Linked DNA regions of Saccharomyces cerevisiae S288C. The main gene of each other region encodes a partner of the protein of the gene in region 2 in a complex. Each region holds a gene or a part of one and is shown on either strand. Other genes may lie near its edges. A codon is read from its position in the direction of its gene.

Region 1 (7,146 bases), on a different chromosome or scaffold from region 2:
ACTTCCTACTATAAAATGGGTTTGAATTGAGAACTGTTGATTGAGCCCTTCTGGGAATTTTCATATTATTGGAAGGATGCCTTAAATTTCCGTTTCTTCGGATCCCAAGGTGCTCACCATCTCCATTGTTAGTGACCATTGATGATGTGTTCTAGGATATTGTTATGTTGATTCCAGATTATGAATGACGTTGAAATGTGTTTTAGAGGAGGAATGATGAGTGCCTTTGAACCTAAGGAATCAGATGGCTAAAAATGCTATGTCACCTCGAAAGCAAGAGCAGATCAAGGTAAATGATATCCAACTATATTGTGGGTATTGCTTTTATCAAACTGGCTTATGACAGTGCTTCACAAGATTTAAGCATTCTATTTCATTGATGAAGCTGTTCGCTTATCTGATCTTGCTGATAAGGCGAATCTTAATGCATGGGTTTATTAAAGGATGATGCATGTGAGAACTGATCACCAGAGCCGAAAAAACATTCTCAGAATATCGCTGAAAACCTTCAATAATAAAAGCTTCCTAGCGCTCCTTCCGATGTCTGTACATTAGGTATCTAGTAGGATGCGTATGTACAGTTGTATTCTTTTCTTACTATATAGAATATTCATGAGATCACACAACACATACAAAATACTTACCTAATTTAGCATGAAATCAAATATGCTAGTCATATCAACGTAGCGACGTCCACAATCGTTCAAATATTTTTGAACAACGCTCCGGCCGGTTTCCATTAGTTCTCTGTTTTGTTCTGTTAAAGCCTTAATAGATGATTCTGTCAGCTGTTCCTTGGGGTAGTCGAGATCATCGGGTAGATATATTGGCTTCAATTCTTGCTTTTTATTTTTTTCACAATCGAATAAAGAATCGAAATATAAAAGTTGATTGTACAATTGCTTGTCACTGTATTTGTATCTCATGACACCCGTGCAGCCGTCATTCAAACAACGCTTACCAAAAACGGAGACTTGTCTTGTAACTATACCGCATGTGCTGTCATCACACTGTAACCACCCTGCGTAATATAAGGAAATGTGTGCCCTTATAGAATGCTCTATTTGGCTAGTTAATTGAAGAGGAGTAAAAAGTTGCTCACAATGCTTGCACTGTAAACCATTATATGACACGCGATAGTAATTTGAAGATACAATACCACCAAATGGAAACCTTTTATCGCATGATGGGCAACTTAATTCTAATGTTACAGTATCCTTAAACCTTTCAACGTCTGTAATTGTTGTTTCTAAGGGTTGCAAATTATTAATATCTTCTCCATTGTTATTACCGCCCTCTCTTCTAAAATACTTTTTACTATCTAAACCAAGCGCTTCACTCAAACGCACCACGTTGAAGCTATCAATTCTTTCTAACAACCTTTCTACCGGCGCGAATATTTGTTTCTCGAGATAATATTGTGGATCAGGTATCAAATTGTTACTTTTAATCATTACCTCATTCAATGCATGGGCACGTTCAGCCACAGAAAGAGCCGGCGTATCCGCTGCATTGTCTATTTCATCCTGCTTTGTGATCACAAAAGTGATGACAGAGCCAGCTTTAACAACTCTACCAGCCTTACGCATTCTTAGAGCTACTTGGACTGCAGGCATGTTTTTACCACCTGGGTAGGCCTTGGGATCTTTTGAAAGCTTCATATTGATCTTATATTTATCAATTCTAATGTTATTGGTTTCCACTTTTATTCTGATGTCTTCTAAGTAATCATACACTTCTTGCAATGCTTCTTCTGGGTCCTTATCTGACAGGATGGTGTTTAAAACATGTATAGAAACGTCCCTCGAAAGTGGACAAAATTCACGACGCTTCATGTCCAACCCTTTAACTTCTAGAACAGTAGTTCCATTACCATTTTTGTCCAAATTTACAGTCAAAGCAGCGTACTTTTTCTTGGCATGTAATAGTAACTTCTTAAAAACATTATCAATATCAATCTCCAATAATCTATAGCGCTCATTTACTAGCCTTTTAAATCCCAAGCCAATTTTAATTGCATCCGCATAATTATCACAACCGGTATCTATCATGACCGAATCTGTATCACCATAAACTACAAGAAGATTCATACTTTCAGCTAGTTGTCTTGTATTCATTAAAATCTCACGACCCTTATTAGTGACTAACATGGCGAGCGGCTTTGCGTAAAATCTACTGTTAACATAACCCAAACAACCATACATAGAATTGGCAGTCAATTTTAGAGCTTGTTGACGAATATCACATTGAACTCGCTTATGGGGATCAGTTTCAGTTTTCATCACCTTCTTAACTTCACGTCGACGATCCACCAGATTAGCTAATAACCTTGGTAAAACACCCTGATCCACCTCTGAAGGAGGTACGCTTGGTAACTCATCGATATCTTCCTTATTTCTATCAACGGTGGTAAAACATATATTAAATTCCTGGATAATAGATGGATACAAAGAATTAAAGTCCATGACTAAAACGTAATTCTTATGAAGACCTTTCTCAGGTTCAAAAACTAAACCACCCTGATATTTTGCCTTTTTAGAATTAACTGGTGCATCAGCATTTTCTTCATTTTGTCTTTGTTTCTGAGCTCTACTTCTATTGCCTTCTTTGTCAGGAACAATAAAACCATTTCTTGAAAATTCATGTAGTAAGATATACTCATTTCTACCAGCTCTTGTACCGCCTAGCGTTTGGGCCCATGCATTACCAGCCAAATTTGTCAACTGTTTAGTCAAGGTTAATAATTGAATTCTATAAGACACCTCAGCAGAAATCATACAATTAGTAATATTCTCTTGTAGGGCCATTGTCATACTATTTACATCATTTTGGTATTGTGGATTTTGATAATCAATATCTAACGGCTTATGCTCCTTTTCACATGTAACTTGATACATCTCTGAAAGATCCCAACTTTGACATTTGGGTGTTAATGATTGACCCATTTCATTGGCGATATCACATATCAGCCTACCAGAGCAAATGTCACTAATAAAAAAATGGTTCATATTCGAATTTCCTCTACCGAATTTTTCAGGCCAAGTCCTTCTTAAACGACGGCCAATAGAGCTGAACGTTGGAATGTTGAGATCATGCATTCTATGAGCTAAAACATCTAAGTAGACATTTTGCAAACGATGGCCTATGATAACATCTGGGTCTTCCACTTTTAACATAGCACAAAAACAAGATAGCATGGCCTTTTCGTTGTTGAACAACCTGACTCTACCGGGTAGTTTCTGTTTTGCCAGTGCAGCTAAACCTAATGGGAAACTAGTTGACTGAGGCGGCCTTACTAAAGTACACAAGTCGTCTGGTTTTATATTTTCAGGTATCGGTGAATCCAACGAGATATTTCTATATGCTGATAACGTTATCGAAACAATCTCTTGCTTATTTTCCTTGGGATTCATTAACGTCTGAATCGATAAAGATAGACATCTCAGATTAGGCATTGTCTTTGTTGTAGTAGGCGTGATATTCTGAGGCTTATCTACCGAAACTTCAACCGCACAGTGAGAAGCATTACGAATTGAATTGAAATCTGCTCCCTTTATATCTAACCAGCATGGTCCCATAATCCTATTTTGAATAACAAAACTTTCAAAAATATTGGAATTCCCACCAAAAACATGATAAAAGGTATCGCTAGATAAATCCGATGGAATGGTGTCTCGACTGGACTTCGGTGTTTGGTATGGAAGTAAGACTTTCAAATAATCACTTTCAGATGGAATGTCAGGAAGCTCAAACGAATATTTCATTTTTTGAGGTTTAGCGCGGATATTATCCAGTCCATATTTATCCATCAGTAACGGAATTATTTCCTCGTGTATATCGGTAGGTGTTTTACCCTCTCTTGGAAGGAAAAATAGCTCTCTACAGAGACCGTTGATTTGAACCATGGCTGACACACAATTATCATCCTTTAGTTTAACCTTACCAAATAAAATCAAAGTGTTGTTCACTTCACAGTAATCCAACCAAAACATTTGGAAAGTATCAGTTTCCGGATCTACCACATCTTCCTTTTTGACATTAACCGCAAGTGTAGCAACATCGGTGTTGCTCTGCAAAGATTTACTTGGAGTTAGTCCTTTAATACCGATTGGCGTTCCGGGTGCTGTGACAAACGGTGAAGTTGAAGGGTTACTTCTTGAGTCTATATTCACGCGTCTAGTTGTTGTCACACTTCTCATAGTTCTTCTTTTCAGAATAATATCTTCATCACTATCTTCATCATCTTCTTCATCAGCCAAACTTTGAGCGGATGGTGGATTTGCTAGTAACGTATCTTGAAGTACATTCTGTCTCTTTGTGGCTACTACTGGGGAATTTTCCACATCATCCAATAAATCCTGTACATCATTTGCGTAGCGCAGTTTCCTGCTTTGTAATTTTAACGGTGATGATTCGATTTCTAAATATTTATCAGTACTTGAATCTGGATCAATCTTGACTTTTTTAGAAATACCGGCATCATGACTTGACTCATCGTTTCCGTTAACTCTCTTTATTGACGATTTAAATTCACTAGTCGGCGAAGAATTTAAATTTTCCCTTAATTTGGATGGCAGTAAAATATTGGGTTTTTCTACTTCACCAGATTCAAACTCACCAAGAATGTCATCAAAATTATCGATGGGGATACTTTTTTTTTGGGATTTTTTTGCATGTGCTAGCAGTGTTGATTTGGAATGTTGAGTTCGCAGCATATCTGTAATCTGGTGGTCTTTCTCCCTTTTTATATTCTTCTTCCTTTTAGAATCCTTGCTAGCAAGGTTTCCAGTGTCTTCATCACTTGAACTGTTATCAACTTCCCTCCAATCTTCTTCGACACCACGATCGACGTAGCCTACACCATCGTCATCTACAACAAAATCGTCATGCAGCAATTCCTGGCGCTTTCTGGCCCTGTATTCTTTTTCGTCGATTTCGTCGTATATTCTGTCACCATCTGATTCGTCACCTTCGTAATCATCGATGGATGTACCATTTCGAGCGGCTTGCAGCTTTCTCAATTTTTCTAATTTTTCACTTTTAGAAGACATTTTCCACTGTTTATTTTATGCCTTGATACTATTTGGTTTCTAATAGCAGAGTGAAGACAGTTTTTTTTCTCGTGAGTCTGAATTGGTATGTGTTCGTTGTCTAGACCAAGAAGATATATATCATCCAATGAGTAAAGAATTTAATTCAGTAAAATTGGATACACGCGACGCGTTTTACTTATAGGCTAACAAAAAAATTTTAACGCGTTTGAATAGATGTGTGATGAATGAAGAATAGAGATTGCAGGCAGTACAAGAAAAAAGTTATATTTCTTTAAGAAAAATGCACGTATATATATATATATATATAATTAAACTGTATAGTCTGTTATTTTATTCTTTCTGAACCTTCTCAAAAATTTGCTTCTTTAAGCTTTCAGCTTTTTTTATTCCTTCCGTTTCACCGCTACTCAGAACTAAATTCTTTAAAAGCTTGTTTTCCGTTTCTAACGTATGTATCCGTTTTTGTAAGGATGCTGCAATTTCGGTCAGTTCATGTATCGATGATTCTAACTCCTTTTCCTTTAGTTTTTTTTTTTGATGAGATTTTTTCGACTGTATCAATAAATCTTCATCGTCGTCCCCTAACTCTTTCTTGATCAGTTGCTTCTTTTCAAAGCCGTGTAAATCTGCATCGTCATATTCATCGTCTTCATTATCAGAATACTTGCGGTCGACGGGTACTTTTTTATTTTTCAAATCTCCGGAGTGTGATCTTTTTAAACTATTTTCCTTGTGATCAGAAGAACTTGCATTTAAAGTTGGCTCGGATCGTATCTTGGCAATTTCGTCTCCACGCGTCGTACTTGACTTAATAACAGCGTTATTATGATGGACATTATCGTTTCCATTGTTACCGTCACTCTCTCTTGATATTTTATGATCGTTTCGTGAAGGTTGTCGTTGATTGTGAATATTATTACTTTTTGGATGCTTTATGCCCAGTTCCAAAATGGAGCTTAGAAAAGAAGCCTCTGCTACTACACCGTGCTCATTGAACGAAGGCGACGTTGATAAGGTAGTTGGCGCAGCAGTTTCAGCCGGAGAGGGTGGTATTAAGACACTTAAAAGTTCGTTGATGTTTTTTAGAATGGGTGCCTCTTGACTGTCATTGGTGTTGATGTTTTTATTATTATTACTGTTATTTTCCCTAATCTTTTTTTGATGATGATACGCCATTATTGCGGCTATAGCATCTATTTGATCATTGTCAAATCCCGCGCTGATCAACGAGTTATATGCGCCGTTGGGCACGTTGACCCTCGGTAATAGAGTTACTAAAACAGAGGTTGGTATAATTGAATAGTCAGGAACAGTTATATTGGGGGCTTTGTTGGAGCTGTTATTATCGCTGTTACTATCGACTTTGCTTTCCGAATGTTTTCGTTGTTGTGAAGAGGAATTTTGAGCAGAAGTGACATTGCTTAGGGGGGAGGAGCGGTTCGGTGTGTGTGTTGTCCTATGTAGTAGATTTGATAGCGCATCCACTCCATTGTCACCGGTAGTATTGTTCTCAGTTGATGTAATGTCAACATTTGTGAAGCCGCCATGGTCGATTGATGTCATATTAGTTGCGTCAGCGGGAAACTGAGAAGGGCTTCCCATAAAGTTTGGCTCAAAAGGATGGTTATTTTGCATATTGTCGCCAAAGTTGTTTGTTTCGCCGTTATTGCCATTTCTTTTGTTTTTGGACGAAAATCGAGACTTTGATTGGTCGTATTGGGAAGTTAGGAAAGTATTCCTTCTTTGAGTCAAGAAGTGAGGATTTCTTTGTCTATTATTGGTAGAAGGGTCCTCATGCAATACGTCGTGGTTGCTATGGTCGTCATTACCATTATTGCTGTTGTTATTGTTATTGCTCGGCTTATCCTCGTCTGGGAAGATGAAAGAATCGTCGGCAAACGCACTCAACTCAATGGCTAGTTGTTCATCCAAGTCAAAAGGATTTGCATTTATGCTGCTGAAAGTGTCCGCGCCATTATTGTTTGCATTATTATGGGTGGTATTCACATTCCAATCCACATTAGAGAACTCGTTATCCAGAGATGGTATGAAGTTATCCACGTAGGCCAACTGTTCTAAGAGTATTTCTGGC
Region 2 (4,473 bases):
TGAAGGGGATGAGGAATCCGACGATGCTGTAGACGAAAATGATGTTAAGAAATGCATGGAAATGACAATGATTAATCCCTTCAAAAACTTGGAAACTGATAAAACACTAGAGTTGAAGAATAACGTTGGAAAAAGAACATCAAGCACAGACAGCGTAGTTATTCATGATGATAATGACAAAGATAAAAAGCTTTCAGAAATGACGAAAATAGTAAGTGTTTATCAACTGGACCAGCCAAACCCAGCAAAGGAGGAAGATGATATAGATATGGAAAATTCTCAAAAATCTGATTTGAATTTAAGTGAAATTTTTCAAAACAGTGGTGAAAATACCGAAAGGAAATTGAAGGACGATAATGAACCAACAGTAAAATTCAGTACAGATCCTCCAAAGATAATAAATGAGCCAGAAAAACTTATTGGAAATGGGAATGAGAATGAAAAGCCTGATTTGGAAACAATGTCACCAATCAAAATAAACGGGGACGAGAATATGGGTCAAAAGCAAAGGATCACAGTAAAGAGAGAAAGAGACGTAGCACTAACTGAACAAGACATAAACTCCAAAAAGATGAAACTAGTTAATAACAAAAAATCAGAGAAGATGCATTTGCTTATCATGGATAATTTCCCAAGGGATTCCTTGACTGTATATGAAATTAGTCATCTTTTAATGGTTGATTCTAATGGCAACACTTTGATGGATTTTGATGTCTATTTCAATCACATGTCAAAGGCAATAAACAGGATAAAAAGTGGATCGTTCACTATGAAACATATAAATTACCTGATCGAACCCTTGATTACTTGTTTTCAAAATCAAAAAATGACCGATTGGTTGACGAATGAAAATGGTTTTGATGAACTACTGGATGTTGCTATTATGCTTTTGAAATCTACTGATGACACGCCTTCAATTCCATCAAAAATATCCAGTAAGTCCATAATTCTCGTTCATTGTCTTTTGGTTTGGAAAAAGTTTCTAAATACACTAAGCGAGAATGCCGACGATGATGGCGTTTCGGTGAGAATGTGTTTCGAAGAAGTATGGGAACAGATCCTTTTAATGCTTAATAAATTTTCTGATTATGGAAACGAAATCTATAAATTAGCGCAAGAGTTCAGGGACAGTCTAATGTTATCGCACTTTTTCAAAAAACATTCGGCAACAAGAATTCTAAGCATGTTGGTTACTGAAATTCAGCCTGACACCGCTGGTGTGAAAGAAACATTTTTAATTGAGACCTTATGGAAGATGCTGCAATCTCCTACCATTTGCCAACAATTCAAGAAATCTAATATATCAGAGATTATCCAAACAATGAGCTATTTCATTATGGGGACTGATAATACTTCGTGGAACTTCACCAGTGCCGTGGTATTAGCTCGTTGTTTGAGAGTCCTCCAAACTACTCCAGATTATACTGAGCAAGAAACCGAACGATTATTCGATTGTTTGCCTAAGAATGTCTTTAAAATGATCATGTTCATCGCCTCAAACGAATAGAGAATAGCGTGGTAGACGCGTAATTTTTTTTTACCGTGACGCGTCTCACCAGAGTTTCTTAGTTCTTTCTCTTTTCTAAAACTGTAATAATATGAGCTCTTTGTAGACACATATAACATTTTGTTTCATATACATAATATATTTGCATATAAAAATATCAAGATAATTGATTGTCAATTGGTTCAACAAAGCTTGAAGGTAAATTTAGGCAGGAGCAAGTGACTGAAAAAAAAAAAAATGAGCGGATCTATCGATGTCATCACTCATTTTGGGCCTGATGCAGACAAGCCGGAAATCATCACTGCATTAGAGAATTTAACTAAACTGCATGCATTGTCCGTCGAGGATCTATACATTAAATGGGAGCAGTTCTCCAATCAAAGGCGTCAAACTCACACAGATCTGACTTCCAAGAACATAGATGAGTTTAAACAATTTTTACAATTACAAATGGAAAAGCGTGCTAACCAAATTTCATCGTCCTCTAAGGTAAACACATCCACAAAAAAACCAGTGATTAAAAAAAGTTTGAATTCAAGTCCCTTGTTTGGCCTTAGTATTCCAAAGACTCCGACTTTAAAAAAAAGAAAGTTACATGGTCCCTTTTCACTCAGTGATTCCAAGCAAACATATAATGTAGGCTCTGAGGCAGAAACAAATGAAAAAGGAAATAGTTCTTTAAAATTGGAGTTTACTCCAGGCATGGCAGAAGATGCTGTGGGTGACAGTGCTCCATTGTCCCACGCTAAAAGCTCGGATGCCAAGACTCCCGGCTCGTCGACATTCCAAACTCCAACAACAAACACTCCTACCACATCGAGGCAAAATGTTCCTGCTGGTGAAATTTTGGATTCTTTGAACCCTGAAAATATTGAAATATCATCTGGTAATCCAAATGTAGGCCTTCTTTCGACTGAAGAACCATCATATAACCAGGTCAAAGTAGAACCATTTTATGATGCTAAAAAGTATAAATTCAGAACAATGAGGCAAAACTTACAGGAAGCGTCTGATGTCCTCGATGATCAAATTGAATCGTTTACTAAGATTATTCAAAATCACTATAAGTTATCTCCAAACGACTTCGCTGATCCAACTATTCAATCTCAGTCCGAAATTTATGCTGTTGGAAGGATAGTTCCAGATTCGCCGACCTACGACAAGTTTTTGAATCCAGAATCGCTTTCCCTAGAGACCTCAAGAATGGGCGGCGTTGGAAGAAGGGTAAGGTTAGATCTATCGCAGGTCAACGAGCTTTCGTTTTTCTTAGGCCAAATTGTGGCATTCAAAGGTAAAAATGCTAATGGGGATTACTTCACCGTTAACTCTATTTTGCCGCTACCTTATCCAAACTCCCCAGTGTCCACATCGCAGGAACTGCAGGAGTTTCAAGCAAATTTGGAAGGTTCTTCTTTGAAGGTTATCGTGACCTGTGGCCCATACTTTGCAAATGATAACTTCTCCCTCGAATTGTTGCAAGAATTTATCGATAGTATAAATAATGAGGTAAAACCTCACGTCTTGATAATGTTTGGCCCATTTATAGATATCACCCATCCTCTGATAGCGAGTGGTAAATTGCCAAATTTTCCCCAGTTCAAGACACAGCCCAAAACATTGGACGAGCTTTTTTTGAAGTTATTTACTCCTATTCTAAAAACCATATCACCACATATCCAAACCGTATTGATACCCTCCACAAAAGATGCAATTTCTAATCACGCCGCATATCCACAAGCTTCTTTAATTAGAAAGGCTTTACAGCTGCCTAAAAGGAACTTCAAATGCATGGCTAATCCTTCATCTTTTCAAATAAATGAGATATACTTCGGTTGCTCAAACGTTGATACATTCAAAGATCTAAAGGAAGTCATAAAAGGCGGTACTACCTCATCAAGATATAGATTAGATCGTGTTTCTGAGCATATTTTACAACAGCGCAGGTATTACCCCATATTTCCAGGTAGTATTCGTACAAGAATAAAACCAAAAGACGTATCTACGAAGAAGGAAACCAATGATATGGAAAGCAAAGAAGAAAAAGTTTATGAACATATATCTGGTGCAGATTTAGACGTGAGTTATCTGGGACTAACAGAGTTTGTTGGTGGGTTCTCGCCTGACATAATGATTATACCCAGTGAATTACAACACTTTGCAAGAGTTGTCCAAAACGTAGTTGTTATAAATCCCGGAAGATTTATTAGAGCAACAGGTAACAGGGGATCCTATGCACAAATTACTGTCCAATGCCCTGATCTTGAAGACGGGAAATTGACGCTTGTTGAAGGTGAAGAGCCAGTTTATCTACACAACGTGTGGAAGCGCGCTAGAGTTGACTTGATTGCTAGTTGATATATTTAATTCAAACTTAACTAATGGAATAGCTCAAGGTAGCACCAAAAAGTATTGTTATACACCTGAACTATCGACCTTGAAACTGGCTCTATAACTTACTTATTGATTAAAGACCATAACATGATCAGTATCCGGGTAATAAAGTAACGTGATCAGAGGCCAGAGAAAATGTTCATAAGTAGAGACTACTCTTAAATGCATAATAAAAAAAAAAACTGATAGGCATCACTCTTTCCTTTTTGACTAAGATTCCAGCATCACATTGCAATATGTCCACTGGTATTACTTATGATGAAGATAGAAAGACACAATTAATTGCCCAATACGAATCTGTAAGGGAAGTTGTGAATGCAGAGGCAAAAAATGTTCATGTTAATGAAAATGCCTCCAAAATTTTATTATTGGTTGTTTCGAAATTGAAACCAGCTAGCGATATACAAATTCTTTACGACCATGGTGTGAGGGAGTTCGGGGAAAACTATGTTCAAGAGTTGATCGAAAAGGCAAAATTACTACCAGACGATATCAAGTGGCACTTTATTGGCGGTTTGCAAACGAATAAATGTAAAGATTTGGCTAAAGTGCCAAATTTATACTCTGTTGAAACA

Evidence for each region.
Region 1: the proteins of POL12 (region 2) and POL1 are in contact, whole or in part, in a cryo-EM structure (PDB 8FOC), measured with the Saccharomyces cerevisiae proteins. Residues at the interface, in NP_009518.1 of Saccharomyces cerevisiae: Arg248 (codon at 2,486), Thr249 (codon at 2,489), Met250 (codon at 2,492), Arg251 (codon at 2,495), Gln252 (codon at 2,498), Asn253 (codon at 2,501), Leu254 (codon at 2,504), Gln255 (codon at 2,507), Ala257 (codon at 2,513), Ser258 (codon at 2,516), Leu261 (codon at 2,525), Asp262 (codon at 2,528), Ile265 (codon at 2,537), Asn281 (codon at 2,585), Phe283 (codon at 2,591), Ala284 (codon at 2,594), Gln289 (codon at 2,609), Gln291 (codon at 2,615), Ser292 (codon at 2,618), Glu293 (codon at 2,621), Arg299 (codon at 2,639), Val301 (codon at 2,645), Pro302 (codon at 2,648), Pro305 (codon at 2,657), Thr306 (codon at 2,660), Asp308 (codon at 2,666), Asn312 (codon at 2,678), Glu319 (codon at 2,699), Thr320 (codon at 2,702), Ser321 (codon at 2,705); in NP_014297.3 of Saccharomyces cerevisiae: Met547 (codon at 3,413), Lys550 (codon at 3,404), Asn552 (codon at 3,398), Lys553 (codon at 3,395), Gln554 (codon at 3,392), Asn642 (codon at 3,128), Val643 (codon at 3,125), His650 (codon at 3,104), Gly676 (codon at 3,026), Asn681 (codon at 3,011), Ser1134 (codon at 1,652), Ala1139 (codon at 1,637), Pro1141 (codon at 1,631), Gly1142 (codon at 1,628), Ser1286 (codon at 1,196), Pro1288 (codon at 1,190), Ser1289 (codon at 1,187), Asp1291 (codon at 1,181), Pro1323 (codon at 1,085), Leu1324 (codon at 1,082), Gln1325 (codon at 1,079), Thr1327 (codon at 1,073), Ser1328 (codon at 1,070), Gln1329 (codon at 1,067), Glu1331 (codon at 1,061), His1332 (codon at 1,058), Arg1335 (codon at 1,049), Ala1336 (codon at 1,046), Ile1338 (codon at 1,040), Ser1339 (codon at 1,037).

Annotation. Positions count from the first base shown.
Region 1 is NC_001146.8:427,992-435,137, reverse strand, and holds POL1 (DNA-directed DNA polymerase alpha catalytic subunit POL1), read right to left. Parts: upstream 5,052-7,146; coding exon 645-5,051; downstream 1-644. Other genes in the region: AVT4 (Avt4p), read right to left, coding at 1-139; MET4 (Met4p), read right to left, coding at 5,385-7,146. UniProt on the Saccharomyces cerevisiae protein: Catalytic component of DNA polymerase alpha, which in complex with DNA primase (DNA polymerase alpha:primase) constitutes a replicative polymerase. POL1 has a role in promoting telomere replication during interaction with CDC13.
Region 2 is NC_001134.8:150,882-155,354, reverse strand, and holds POL12 (DNA-directed DNA polymerase alpha subunit POL12), read left to right. Parts: upstream 1-1,744; coding exon 1,745-3,862; downstream 3,863-4,473. Other genes in the region: STU1 (Stu1p), read left to right, coding at 1-1,507; YBL036C (pyridoxal phosphate homeostasis protein), read left to right, coding at 4,135-4,473. UniProt on the Saccharomyces cerevisiae protein: Non-catalytic component of DNA polymerase alpha, which in a complex with DNA primase (DNA polymerase alpha:primase) constitutes a replicative polymerase.